Nothobranchius furzeri: one gene and its partners. The protein of the gene in region 3 purifies or fractionates together with the protein of the main gene of each other region. This does not show direct contact. Links are inferred from orthologs where the notes say so. Each region holds a gene or a part of one and is shown on either strand. Other genes may lie near its edges.

What was found.
Region 1: the proteins of pfdn4 (region 3) and pdrg1 purify together in Homo sapiens (co-immunoprecipitation; 3 studies listed by BioGRID and IntAct, counting the BioPlex papers as one, with this or other methods). This does not show direct contact. The link is inferred for Nothobranchius furzeri from reciprocal best matches to the Homo sapiens genes PFDN4 and PDRG1.
Region 2: the proteins of pfdn4 (region 3) and pfdn2 purify together in Homo sapiens (affinity purification with mass spectrometry; 6 studies listed by BioGRID and IntAct, counting the BioPlex papers as one, with this or other methods). This does not show direct contact. The link is inferred for Nothobranchius furzeri from reciprocal best matches to the Homo sapiens genes PFDN4 and PFDN2.

The regions. Positions count from the first base shown.
Region 1 is NC_091743.1:5,381,370-5,385,121, reverse strand, and holds the start of pdrg1 (p53 and DNA damage-regulated protein 1), read right to left. Parts: upstream 2,405-3,752; 5' UTR 2,334-2,404; coding exon 2,250-2,333; intron 2,111-2,249; exon of another isoform or gene 1,942-2,110; coding exon of another isoform or gene 1,912-1,941; intron 1,802-1,911; coding exon 1,726-1,801; intron 1,504-1,725; coding exon 1,429-1,503; intron 1,347-1,428; coding exon 1,266-1,346; intron 1-1,265. UniProt on the Homo sapiens protein: May play a role in chaperone-mediated protein folding.
Region 2 is NC_091742.1:74,820,900-74,824,651, forward strand, and holds pfdn2 (prefoldin subunit 2), read left to right. Parts: upstream 1-1,304; 5' UTR 1,305-1,526; coding exon 1,527-1,607; intron 1,608-2,451; coding exon 2,452-2,540; intron 2,541-2,658; coding exon 2,659-2,782; intron 2,783-3,010; coding exon 3,011-3,202; 3' UTR 3,203-3,485; downstream 3,486-3,752. UniProt on the Homo sapiens protein: Binds specifically to cytosolic chaperonin (c-CPN) and transfers target proteins to it. Binds to nascent polypeptide chain and promotes folding in an environment in which there are many competing pathways for nonnative proteins.
Region 3 is NC_091755.1:40,025,445-40,029,196, reverse strand, and holds the start of pfdn4 (prefoldin subunit 4), read left to right. Parts: upstream 1-969; 5' UTR 970-984; coding exon 985-1,098; intron 1,099-1,436; coding exon 1,437-1,544; intron 1,545-2,020; coding exon 2,021-2,161; intron 2,162-3,752. UniProt on the Homo sapiens protein: Binds specifically to cytosolic chaperonin (c-CPN) and transfers target proteins to it. Binds to nascent polypeptide chain and promotes folding in an environment in which there are many competing pathways for nonnative proteins.

The DNA of each region.
Region 1 (3,752 bases), on a different chromosome or scaffold from region 3:
GGGGCTCAGCACACGCCCCTGTGGAGTGAAAGTCTGAAATAAATAAAACCGTGATCATGTGATCCTCAAATCTGATCTCCTTTCCAGCGTTCCTGACTGACCCGGGATCTGTTGTGTCTACTATTGTACAGGTCCGGGGCGAGCCCAGTTGGGGGGTTGGGTGTGTGGGCTGCAGGAGCCCAGTGACTGAGCTGACCACACGGGGAACTTGGTCGTTTTTCCAGGGTTTTGTCCTTTTCGTGGCCCGACCACGGTCATTTCTATTTACAGCTGTGGTCGTCTGTCGTTGTCTGAGTGTGAGACGGAGAGGCTGAGCCGTCCACTTCTTGCAGGAACTGAAAATAATTTATTATTGTGACGCTTCTCTTTCAGAAGCCGCCTGAATGTTTCAGAAGACAAAAACTGTTACGGTAAGCCAAAGAACGCGTGAAAAATGTGTCAGAGCGGCGTTTTGTGATAAAACGGGTCATCACTACTAACTCTTTCTCCACTCAGATCCAACAACTTATCACACGGAAGGATTCACAACACCTGTTGGGAGACAGCTGGTGCTTTGGGCCGACAGCTCACTGAACTAGAACCTTTAGTTCTGAAACAGACACTCAACCCTAACCCAGCACCAGATGGACTCCAGCAGCAGAAGACCACACCAGCTGTCAGCCAACAACAGGAACCTGGGCCTCAAATCCCCACAGCATCACCAGAAGGGACCGGAAAACGTTGCCTGGTCTGACGAGTCTAGACCTCCAACACCAGGATCCCAGTGTCGGTGCTTTTTCATCGAGTTCCTGATTATTTTCTTTGCAGTCAGAGTTTCTTACTGTTTGTGCCTCATAATGAAGAGAAGTGTGCTCACTAGGATGCAGTTCACGAACAACAATGTCCTGCTATGAAAATGGACCTCTCATTAAAACAATATGAAGCTGGAGGATTAGTTTCCAGTGTTGCTTTTCTAACAAACGATAAATATTTTCTAAATGAGCACACTAAACGTTTAGGAAGTGTCCGAGAGACTGCAACCAAATTAATGGTCACATTTATTATCATTATTATTATAATAACCAGAATAATAAACTCTTTAAAAAGCTTTAGCTTTCATTTAGTGCCCATAAAATAAATGTTAAATGAAGAAATGGTTCCAGGTCCATTCTGATCCGGAGACTGCTGTTTCGTGAGGATCTATGAGGTGAACAAGGGTCTGTAGTACCGGTGCTTGAATCATTAGTGTGGTGGATGGAACCGCTGATGTGTCACAACACACATACCTTCGATCTCGTTGAGACGACCGACTTTAGTTCTCAGCTCTTTGCGAAGGTGGTTTATTTCCTTGTCCAGCTGCTCTTGGTCTGCAGGTTGGAGAAACGGCTCAGACTAAATTCGACTCGTGTTAAAAACGGAAGATCTAACTTGTAAACGATAAAGGATCACCTTTCCGGATCATCTGCGTCGTTTTAGACTTGGAGAACTTGATGAACATGTTTCCAAAGCAAACCTTGACTTTTTCTGTGGACGGCAGCAGAGGCGGCCATTACTCCTTCATCACCAGGGTCACCAATAAACAACCACGAGTTTCATAATTAGCCTGAGATTATTTACAGATTACACGTGTTCCTTTAGGCAATAATAACAGACGGATGTTCCAGCTTTATGGGAACGTTTGGTTGTTGTAGCTACAAGGGTTCCTCTGTGGTGTTCTGGTGGCCTGAGTGCTGATGGATCACAAACCTTTATCCGACATCTCATGTTTCAGTGCGTTCAGCGCCTCTCTGTTGAAGTTTCTCTTCATGTCCAGGTCAACAATCTGAAACACACACACACGTTTGTTTTAAGGGAGGACATTATTAACTGGGATATCCGTGCGTGTGTGTGTGGTTTTAGAACAACAGTTTTCTTCAGATATCATGAACGCACCACCTGACTGGACCAGCTACAGAAGGACATTTGACTCTAGACAACATCGGTGTGGTGACGGGTAAATGAAGTGTTGAACCAACACCAGAACTTAGCTCTCTTGGCTCCAACCGCTAAAATCCTCATGCATAAAGCTGCTAACGCACAGAACTGCGTCTGAAAACCGCGTACGTCACATCCACTCACACTTGTTAGCATGAAGCTAGCAGCTGTAACCCGCTACGGGTCTCACCGCGTACGTCACTTCCACTCACACTTGTTAGCATGAAGCTAGCAGCTGTAACCCGCTACGGGTCTCACAGAACCAGCCTGGCCACGGTGGGTCTGGATGTGTTTACCTGTTGTTTGGCGGTGAGAACATCCTCAGCCGCCTCTTCCACTTCAGTCAAGCGCTCCAAAACACGCAGAGAAGCGTCGTCCATCTTTGAGTCTTCTTCTTCTGGGCTAACGGTGGACTACCGCCCCCTGCTGGAGAGAGGTCACCTCCGCATCCGCCGCGAAGCTTTTCACAAATGTATTTTCAGAGGTGTGACCATAGACTGTACATACTCCACATACAAATGTTTTTCTGTATTTTTGTAAATATTCTCATCATAAACTAAATAAATAGGAAAAACATTTTCAAAAGCATGTCCAAGTGGGCTCAAATTCTTCATGTATAGCAGGTGTGACCAAGTCACTGCTTTGCAAGTCATAAGTAAGTCACAAGTCTTTCCATTCAAGTCTAAAGTCAAATCCAAGTCAAAGACAACCAAGTCCAAGTCAAGTCCTTAACTTTGAATTTTCAAGTGATAATCAAGCCATCTGTCCAACTTCTATTTAATGACGATGATAATAAATTAATTCCAGAAAAAAACCTTCTTAAAGCTTCTTTTTTTTTGCTCAAACAAGCAGAAACTGAGACTGGTTATAAACAAAGCGCTGCTGCATTCAGCAGTAAATCAAACCCAGAACCAAGAATGATTTATGATTTTTGTCCATGTCGTGCCACTTCTGTGACAAAATATCAAACATTCTCAAGTCATCATCAAGTCAACAGATGCAAGCCGATTCAAGTCACAAGTCACTGGTGTTCAAGTCCAGTCAAGTCATAAGTCTTTATAGATTTTATCAAGTCAAGTCAGAAGTCATTCAAATAATGACTCAAGTCTGACTCGAGTCCAAGTCATGTGACTCGAGTCCACACCTTTGTGTATTATAGTCAAAATGTACAAGTTACTGTGCAAAACAAACAAATTACAAATCATTTTCCTTGGACCAATAGAAAAAAGTCCATCGTTCCTGAAACTTCAGCTGAATCCCTTCCAGAAACATCTGTTATTGTCACATAAAATAAGAGTGGACTCAGCATTAACGCCTTTAAACCAAGTTTCATGATGGACAGGACTTAAAAGCAACATTACACGCACGGTGGTCACGGGTGTAATGAACTGACCAGGTTTGAAAATGGACCCAAATATTCCAGAAACAGTTTTCAGACTTTCAATTTTCCACATTTTCCTCATTCAAACGCAGCAACACTCAAATAAGTACTTTTTATACTTGTGACAGTTTAAATGTTCTTGATTTAAAGAGCATAAGTTCTGATTTGGAAGCGATAACTTTTCTTTTGGAGCCAAACTTTCCCGGTACACATCCGGTGGAGGAGACTGAGCCCAGCTTGTGGGTATAGCCTCGCTCCACAGGAGCCTCAGCTGGTCCCCCATGGGCCTGGCTCACCAGGTTAGGCTACAGTAACACTTATAGATGAAATGCTTGAGGGTTTGGGAACCTTTTAATGGTTTGAAGTTTGAGTTTAAGACTACTCATGTAAATATTAAAACTGGGCCAATGATTTAGTG
Region 2 (3,752 bases), on a different chromosome or scaffold from region 3:
GCGAGCAGCCCCTTCTTCTCTGCGATGCAAAAAATGACCAGAAATGTACATATAGCACCCTACTGCCACCTACTGGAGACTTTTTATAACAATATGTGGTAATAACAAAAAAACAAAAATAAATAAATAAAATAAAATAAAACTTTAAATGTAATGAAAAGTCCATTGTTTTAGGATGTGGAATAGTTTTTGAGTTGGCAATGTTTTTATACTCCTAAAATTGTTTTTAAAGTATTATAAATGCATCATAATCATTCAAATATAACACAGGTTTATAAATAACTATCAAAAATACCCTTAAACCAGACTGAATAAATATATTATTTTGCAAAGCAAACGTTTGGTCTAGTTCACTAATAAGATATAAACAGCACGTATACGTCGCATTTCAGTCAACTTTGAAGACATATTGACAATAATATTGTGTGTTTCTCAATTACAACTCTTTTCGTAATCATTCTGATTATTATGGCAAAGTTTTACATTAATAAATTTAAGTTCAGGTGCACTAAACCATGCATTGTTGCTTTTGAAAACAAATTCAAACAACACATTTAATGTGTTCAATCTTCTGAAAACCCCAGAGCAAATAAAAATCTAGAGGTCTGTATGAGGTTAATCCGCTTTCAGCAGTCCTTTACAGCGTTTGAATTATAAAAATAAAAAAATGTCGATAAATGCATTTAAGTGTATTTTTGTATTAAAAATTTACATGTATTTCTTCATTTGTTTTTAATTATTGATTTTAATTTATGTACGGTGTGCTTCTGATTATTGTCTAACATGAAAACTTTTGTTATTTTTGTTCATTTTTGTTTTGCTTTTGATGTTACCTATAGGCTGCTGTAAAGCACATTAAGTTACCTTTGTATAGGAAATGTGCTATACAAATAAAGCTGTCTTGTCTTGTCTTGGCGGTGTGCAAATTAATTAATTTAATGATTAATATGTCCTTTGGCTGAAATAAAGAATATTTGAAAGAGAAAAAACACGTCTAAAACTCCACGATGCAGAAACTGCTTTAATAAATAAGCTAGATTCGGAAAATGGGCTGCATGGTGGCGCAGTTGTTAGCACTGTTGCCTCGCAGCACGAAGGTTGCAGGTTCGAAACTCGGCTGCGGCCTTTCTGCGTGTTGCGTGTTCTCCCCATTCATGCGTGGGTTTCCTCCGGGTACTCCTGTTTCCCCCACAGATCAAAACATGCCCCATACGTTATAAATTGCAAGTCACTTTGGATAAAAGCCTCTGCCAAATAAATAAACATAAACATAAAATAAAAAAGCGTATGCACGAAAAAACAAAAACAATACAAAGTTGATGGAAGTTAATAGAAATTATTCCTTCAAATGCCATTTTATTTTATGTTGAATTAAGTTGTATTTTGTTTGCGGTTCTGCTTCTGAGTTTTTACATGAAAAAGTAAAAGATGGTTGCAAAGTAATTTAGATGTTTTACAAGCCGCATTTGCACTCAGGCAATCTCATTAGATAGCTGCAGGGTCCTAATTGGCAACACCCTTCCAAGATGGCAGCGAACGGTAGCAGCACGGGTAGCAAGTCCAGCAGCAGCGCCGGCGGAAAACAGTCCGGACTTTCAGCTGAACAGGTACTCTCAATTATATAAAAAGGTTTCATTTGTCGTTACAATTATTTCTGTTGTTGTTTGGCTCAGTTTGGTAAAGCAGAACTAAAAGTATAGCCCCTAGCTAGTCTAAGCTAACATTAGCATTCCTGTCGCGATCATCTGGCTCAAAACCCAAATTTGGACATCGGGAACCGTTAGGAGTCTAATAAGGACATTATGAGAGTTTACATCAAACTCTTACTTCTAACAATTTTTACGTTAGTCTATGTATTTACGGTTTTGAAATAATGTGTTTGGTTTGGTGTGACTAAGCATAAAGCTATTTTTGTCCACCTAACCCTAATAAATTATTACTCAGACCATATTAAACAAATCACTGCTGTAATGTCTGTAATACAGTGCACTGTAGTCCGTAATATATCCTTTAACAACAATAATGGCAACATTAGAGTCGAGCAATACCTTCAAATATGTGTCAAAACCTTTATTGATCAGGTTTTACAAAAATAATAATAAAATGTAAATATTGCCATATTGTATCATAACCTTTTTGTTATTTTCTTACATATAAAGTCTATGACTCTGCGTAAATGGTGATTAAAACCATCAAATAAACAAAGTTTATGTCCACTACTTCTAAAAAGTTGTAGATTAAATCTGATAATAAAATTAAACCTTTACCATTAATGAGTTGCTGCATTATGTACATTTATTTAATAATCTTTTAAACAAAATTGTAATATGCTAATTACCAGTTATGACTTTAAGAGTTTGGTTTCAGTAGACAACTAAGGAGTAGCAGCATCTGTTTTTTATTTATTTATTATACTTAATAAAAAAATGATCAAATTCCATTTGTTTTCAGGTGGTAGCAACATTTCAGAGGATGCGTCAGGAGCAGCGTAGTATGGCTTCGAAAGCTGCTGAGCTGGAGATGGATGTCAACGAGCACAGGTTGGTGGAGCATCATCTACATTTATGTTCTAGACACAAATGTTTCACAAGATTTTGTAGGGGAAACAATCCAAAAGACAGACCGTTTAATACCTTTGCTATTTCTTTTCATATTTAGTTTAGTAATTGAGACCCTAAAGGAAGTGGATCCTTCCAGGAAATGCTTTCGTCTGGTTGGAGGAGTGTTGGTGGAAAGGACAGTAAAAGAAGTTCTACCAGCCTTAGAAAACAACAAAGAAAAGGTAATGTTATTTATTTCGGTCACAGGAATGATCAGGAGAATAAACTGAGACATTTTAAATCACTTATTTAACACCAAAATAACAATAAGTGTACATCGAGTTAATCTACATAATTTCACAAGAAAGAGTTTTGTTTATAGGTTTTGAAGTCAAAAATAAACGTTTAGGTGTCAACTGCAGGATGTTTCGTTTGTCTGATTTCTCATCCATCTTCCTCTGTTCTAATAGATTTCCAAAATAATCGAGACCATCAACACACAGATGCAGGCAAAAGGACAGGAGCTCACAGAGTACAGAGAACGTTACAATATCCGGCTGGTTGGAGAGGGTGAAGGAGAGGCGCAGGGCCAGTCGGCAGCAAACTCGCAAGACAATGAAGGAGGAGGATCCAAAAGTGGAGCAGGAGTTCTGGTCTCATAATGCTTTGAGGATGGACAGGGACAGCAGTGCCCTGTTATTTCTGCAGCACTGAAGAAGAAATGAAAACTAGCTCAAGTCAAGGAATTTAGGTGGAAAACTGAACTTTTCATAATGTTCCTTTTAGTTTTCTTGTTTAACTGTAATTTCCTGGAAGTTGTAATAATCATGGTCATCTGCTTCTCTGTTCAGTTGTTTATGTCCTCATTAAGGTCATTTGCCTTGCAGATGTTTTTTAAAATGCTGTCATACATTCAGCAAATAAATTAAAATGCCATAAAAAGGATTTTGAAGTTGCTGACATAAGTAAAAACATTTATCTTTCTCATCTAGCATATAAATCCTGTTGCACTGGGATGAAATTTTTAAAGACATTAAAAAAAAGTTAATGTCAGAATTAGATCCTTTTGCATTGTCATTAAGCATACACAATCGAAATTTATTGGTATGTCAGCTTTGAAAACGCACAAAGCTTTAAAAATGATGTACATTTTTGCGAAAAGGATGTAAAGGACTGAAAAACAACAAATAATTAAACGTGACTCATGAACAG
Region 3 (3,752 bases):
GGTGCATCAGACCTCTGGCTATTGGTCCAGCCCAGAGTGTATTATTACCAATTGGCCAATCCACCAACTTTTACGAGGCGTCGCGTGGGGTGGCGCGGACAAGTTGTCCGCAACAACTAGAAGCCAGGAAAAAAAACAAAACAAAAAAAAAACAGACACCGGCCCATAAAAGATGAAAGGGTCGGCCCAGCGGGCAGTTGCCCGCTATGCCCTATGGTCAGTCCAGCGCTGCCTGGGAGTCTGGGGACTGAATCCTGATTGGATCATTTTTTTATATCAGCCACAGATCTCTCTGAAGAACTCAGCATTGACGGCTTCAGCAACGCTGTGCCACTCCGTGGATTTTCTCTTATTTGTTTTGCAAAAGTACTTCCTTACATTTCTCCACCTCACCCACAGGTACCTCAACTTCTGCTTGTGTGTAATAGCGCTTTCTTGATCTGCCTTGATCTACGGTCGCCATGTCATTGGCGGAGCGCTGCAACAGCCGGCTTATGTATACGCATGGGATCCACAAGGCACTTTGCATTGACTATTTATGGCAGTAAGTGGGCGTGGTGAGGGCGGGATGTGACTAAAAAGCAGCTGAGAACCTATCTAGATAGTCTCTGATTTATGAAGTTGCAATTGCGTGCAGCTGTGTGTACTCCATGTTTGATAGATCACAAACCTACTTGGCATAAGTACTTTTTTTTTGCTGAGCTTAAGTACGGTTTTAGTAAGGATTCTACACAATGTTTGATAAATGAGACCCCTGGCAGCTTGAAGGTTCTTAGCTGGTCCTAGAACTGCACTCTTCCAGACTGAGTTGTCAGATGTTTGTCCAGGAATTTGTTGGAACCACTTCTCTAGTGTGGGGGTCTCTTCAGAGCACTGTATCATTGTATCATCATTGATCTGTGTCATTATTTGGTTAATAATACTTAAAAAAGACCACTCTGTAAGTATTTGTATTCAATCTTTGTCACATGCGCACAGCATGTAATGCTGAAGTGCTACCGCCAGGTGGTGGTGTCGCAGCGGCTCTCTATTGAGCGCTGCTTTCTGACAACAGCAGAAGAAGTCAAGATGGCAGCTACCGTCATGAAGAGTCCTGTTGTAAGTTCGTTTTTAAAGGAATTTTACGTTTTCCTGTAATTAAATTCATGCGCCGCTTTAGTCGCAGATATGAATGGAAACAGCAGAGGAGTATTTGATGTCAGAAGTCACAGTTTTTGGGGTTTATTTTAACCATTCTCACCACCCGTTCATGTGAGTGAGTGGAGCTAATGTAGCTAGCACAGAGGCTACAACCACCCTGCCGGGCAGCGGCTGAAGCTGACGACGGTTTATCGGTTTGTCACTAACCAGCTCTGTGGGAGTCGACCGGACCTCAGACCCGGTGCGCTTGTGAAATGTTTAGTTATTTACAATTAACGTCATCTTCCGGTTTGCAGGCTGTTGAAGACGTGGTTGTCACGTTCGAAGATCAGCAGAAAATCAACAAATTCGCCAGAAACACGAGTCGGATGACGGAGCTCAAAAATGAAATCGAATCAAAGAAGGTGAGTTTGGTGTTTTCTGCTGAAGCATCCTCGTTTCCTGTAACCTTAACCCGATGCTGGCTTATTTCAGGTTTTTATCCAGCCTGGGTAATGTTGAGTAGATTTCTTACATCTGTCAGGAACTGATCGCAGTGTTTGTTGTTTCTGGCTGGCTAAAGGAAGATCAACATGACTTTTTAAAGAGTAAACTCAGACCTCCATCAGATGGTGGCTTTGTGGCTCAGAGGCACACTGGTAGCTCTAACCTCCAGAACGTCAGTGCCTACATGGAACAGTTGCCACTTATGCAGATCAACACCGGTGGGGTTTGACTTCGGCAGTTTCCTCTAAAATGCCAAAGTCATACACGCAAGTTGATGTAGAACCCTGTTATTTAATGTGTAAGGAGTCTGATGTGTCCTGGAAGAGCTACTGGAGCAGTCAGTAATCTATGAACTGCCCTCACCGATTGCTTTGTGTGTGGTGTCCTCTTTCAGAGAACGCTGCAGAACCTTCAGGATGCCAGCGACGACCTGATGCTGTTAGACGACGACACTCTGTTGATCCCCTACCAGATAGGTGGTGTCTTCATCAGCCACTCCCAGGAAGAAACACAAGAGATGCTAGAAGCTGCTAAAGTGAGTGGATCCACGTAACTCAGTAACTCGTTTTGCTCTTCTCTTAAAACATCAGAGAGAAAACCGAATTCAAGTCGCTGTGCAGCTCGAAGGTGTCGAAACAAACCCGGAACTATCGAGGTTAGAGCTGAGGAAAATAATCGATGCATCGGGATGCGGACATAAACGATTCTGCATCGTAGAAGAGTACGCCATCATCGATTATAGTGGAATGTAGTTTTGTTTTTTTAACAGCGGCACCAGCGCAGCGTCCAAATCTGTCAGAGTGAGCGTCCTCCACATTTACCAAGTGGTTCCGCCTTAATGTGGTTCTGCAGGGCTGAGCGCTTGAGTTCTAACCTGAGACCGAACCGGAACCGAATCAGCCCGACTAGTTCTGTTGGATTTGGGCCCTGAATTACGTCAATTGAGTGGGTTGTCACACGGCGCGCTCCGCTCGCACAGCAACTGAGAGAGGGAGAGAGAGGATCGGAGGACGCTCCTCCAAACCGATGCTCCAAACACGCGTTATTATTTTCATAATTTAATTATTATTTCTCCTGGAAGCGCTCAGTCAGACCGAGTGTTGTGATGCTGGGAGATCCGGTCTTGGGGAGGGGGCGGGGTCAATGACGGTGGCTGCAGCGTGATCGTCTTTTATTTAGGGACACGGAGAAATTAAGAGGAGAGAGATAGAAGATAGAAGTTCTTGTTCCACTTTATTCTTTTGTGTCATGATGATAATTTGATGTTAAATTCAGCTTAAAGAGAAGCTGGGAGGAAGCTTTGGTTCATTTTAAGTTACAGGAGGTCTTGTCTCCCATCTGCTCCTCCAGAGACAGCATGGACATGAGGGTCACATGGTGAGGGTCCCACAGGACAGGTTAGTGGAAAGGTTAGTTAGCTGGTTAGTGAAGGAGCTCCATCAGCTGGGTAATTTAATCCTAATCCAGCCCACAGCCTTCTGCTGGTGTTATTATCAGAAAGAATAAAACACACATCTTAAATATTATTGGAAGTGTAGAATTTGTTTTATGTTTTATTATTTTCTGCATCAAACAGAACTTGATTCATTCTCCAACATTTCAGAAATGAACCACTGGGTTCAAATGAAATTAAGTCAAACATTTCATTTGGTGTTATTTCTGACACCCTTCAACTGTGGCATAAATATCGGACTCTAGAGCTGCTCAGAGACATTAAACACTCATATATGAACCCATTATGGATTTTATTATTACGTTATGTTTCCTGTAGGTTTTCAGTACTTTTTTAGATTTTGTGAGTTTTTGCAAAGCGTGTTCTTCTCAGCCTGAGGCGTGGTGTTGAACGAGGAAACAGATGTTTTACTTTGTTAAATCTTCTTAAATGTTTAAATGTTTTGTCCTAACCTGTTGTGAATGGAGAGATTTTGAGGGACAGCAGGTTGTGTCGATTACGCTTTTGATAAAAAAAACATAAAACTAAAAAGCAATTATCTGACATCTTCCATTTATCGATGAAAACAAACTAATATGAAATAATCGTGATGCGGGATGCAGCTATCGAATATTTTTGTAATCGAGTACTCTATCGAATCTTTTATCGATTAATCGAGTACTCTAATAAATTA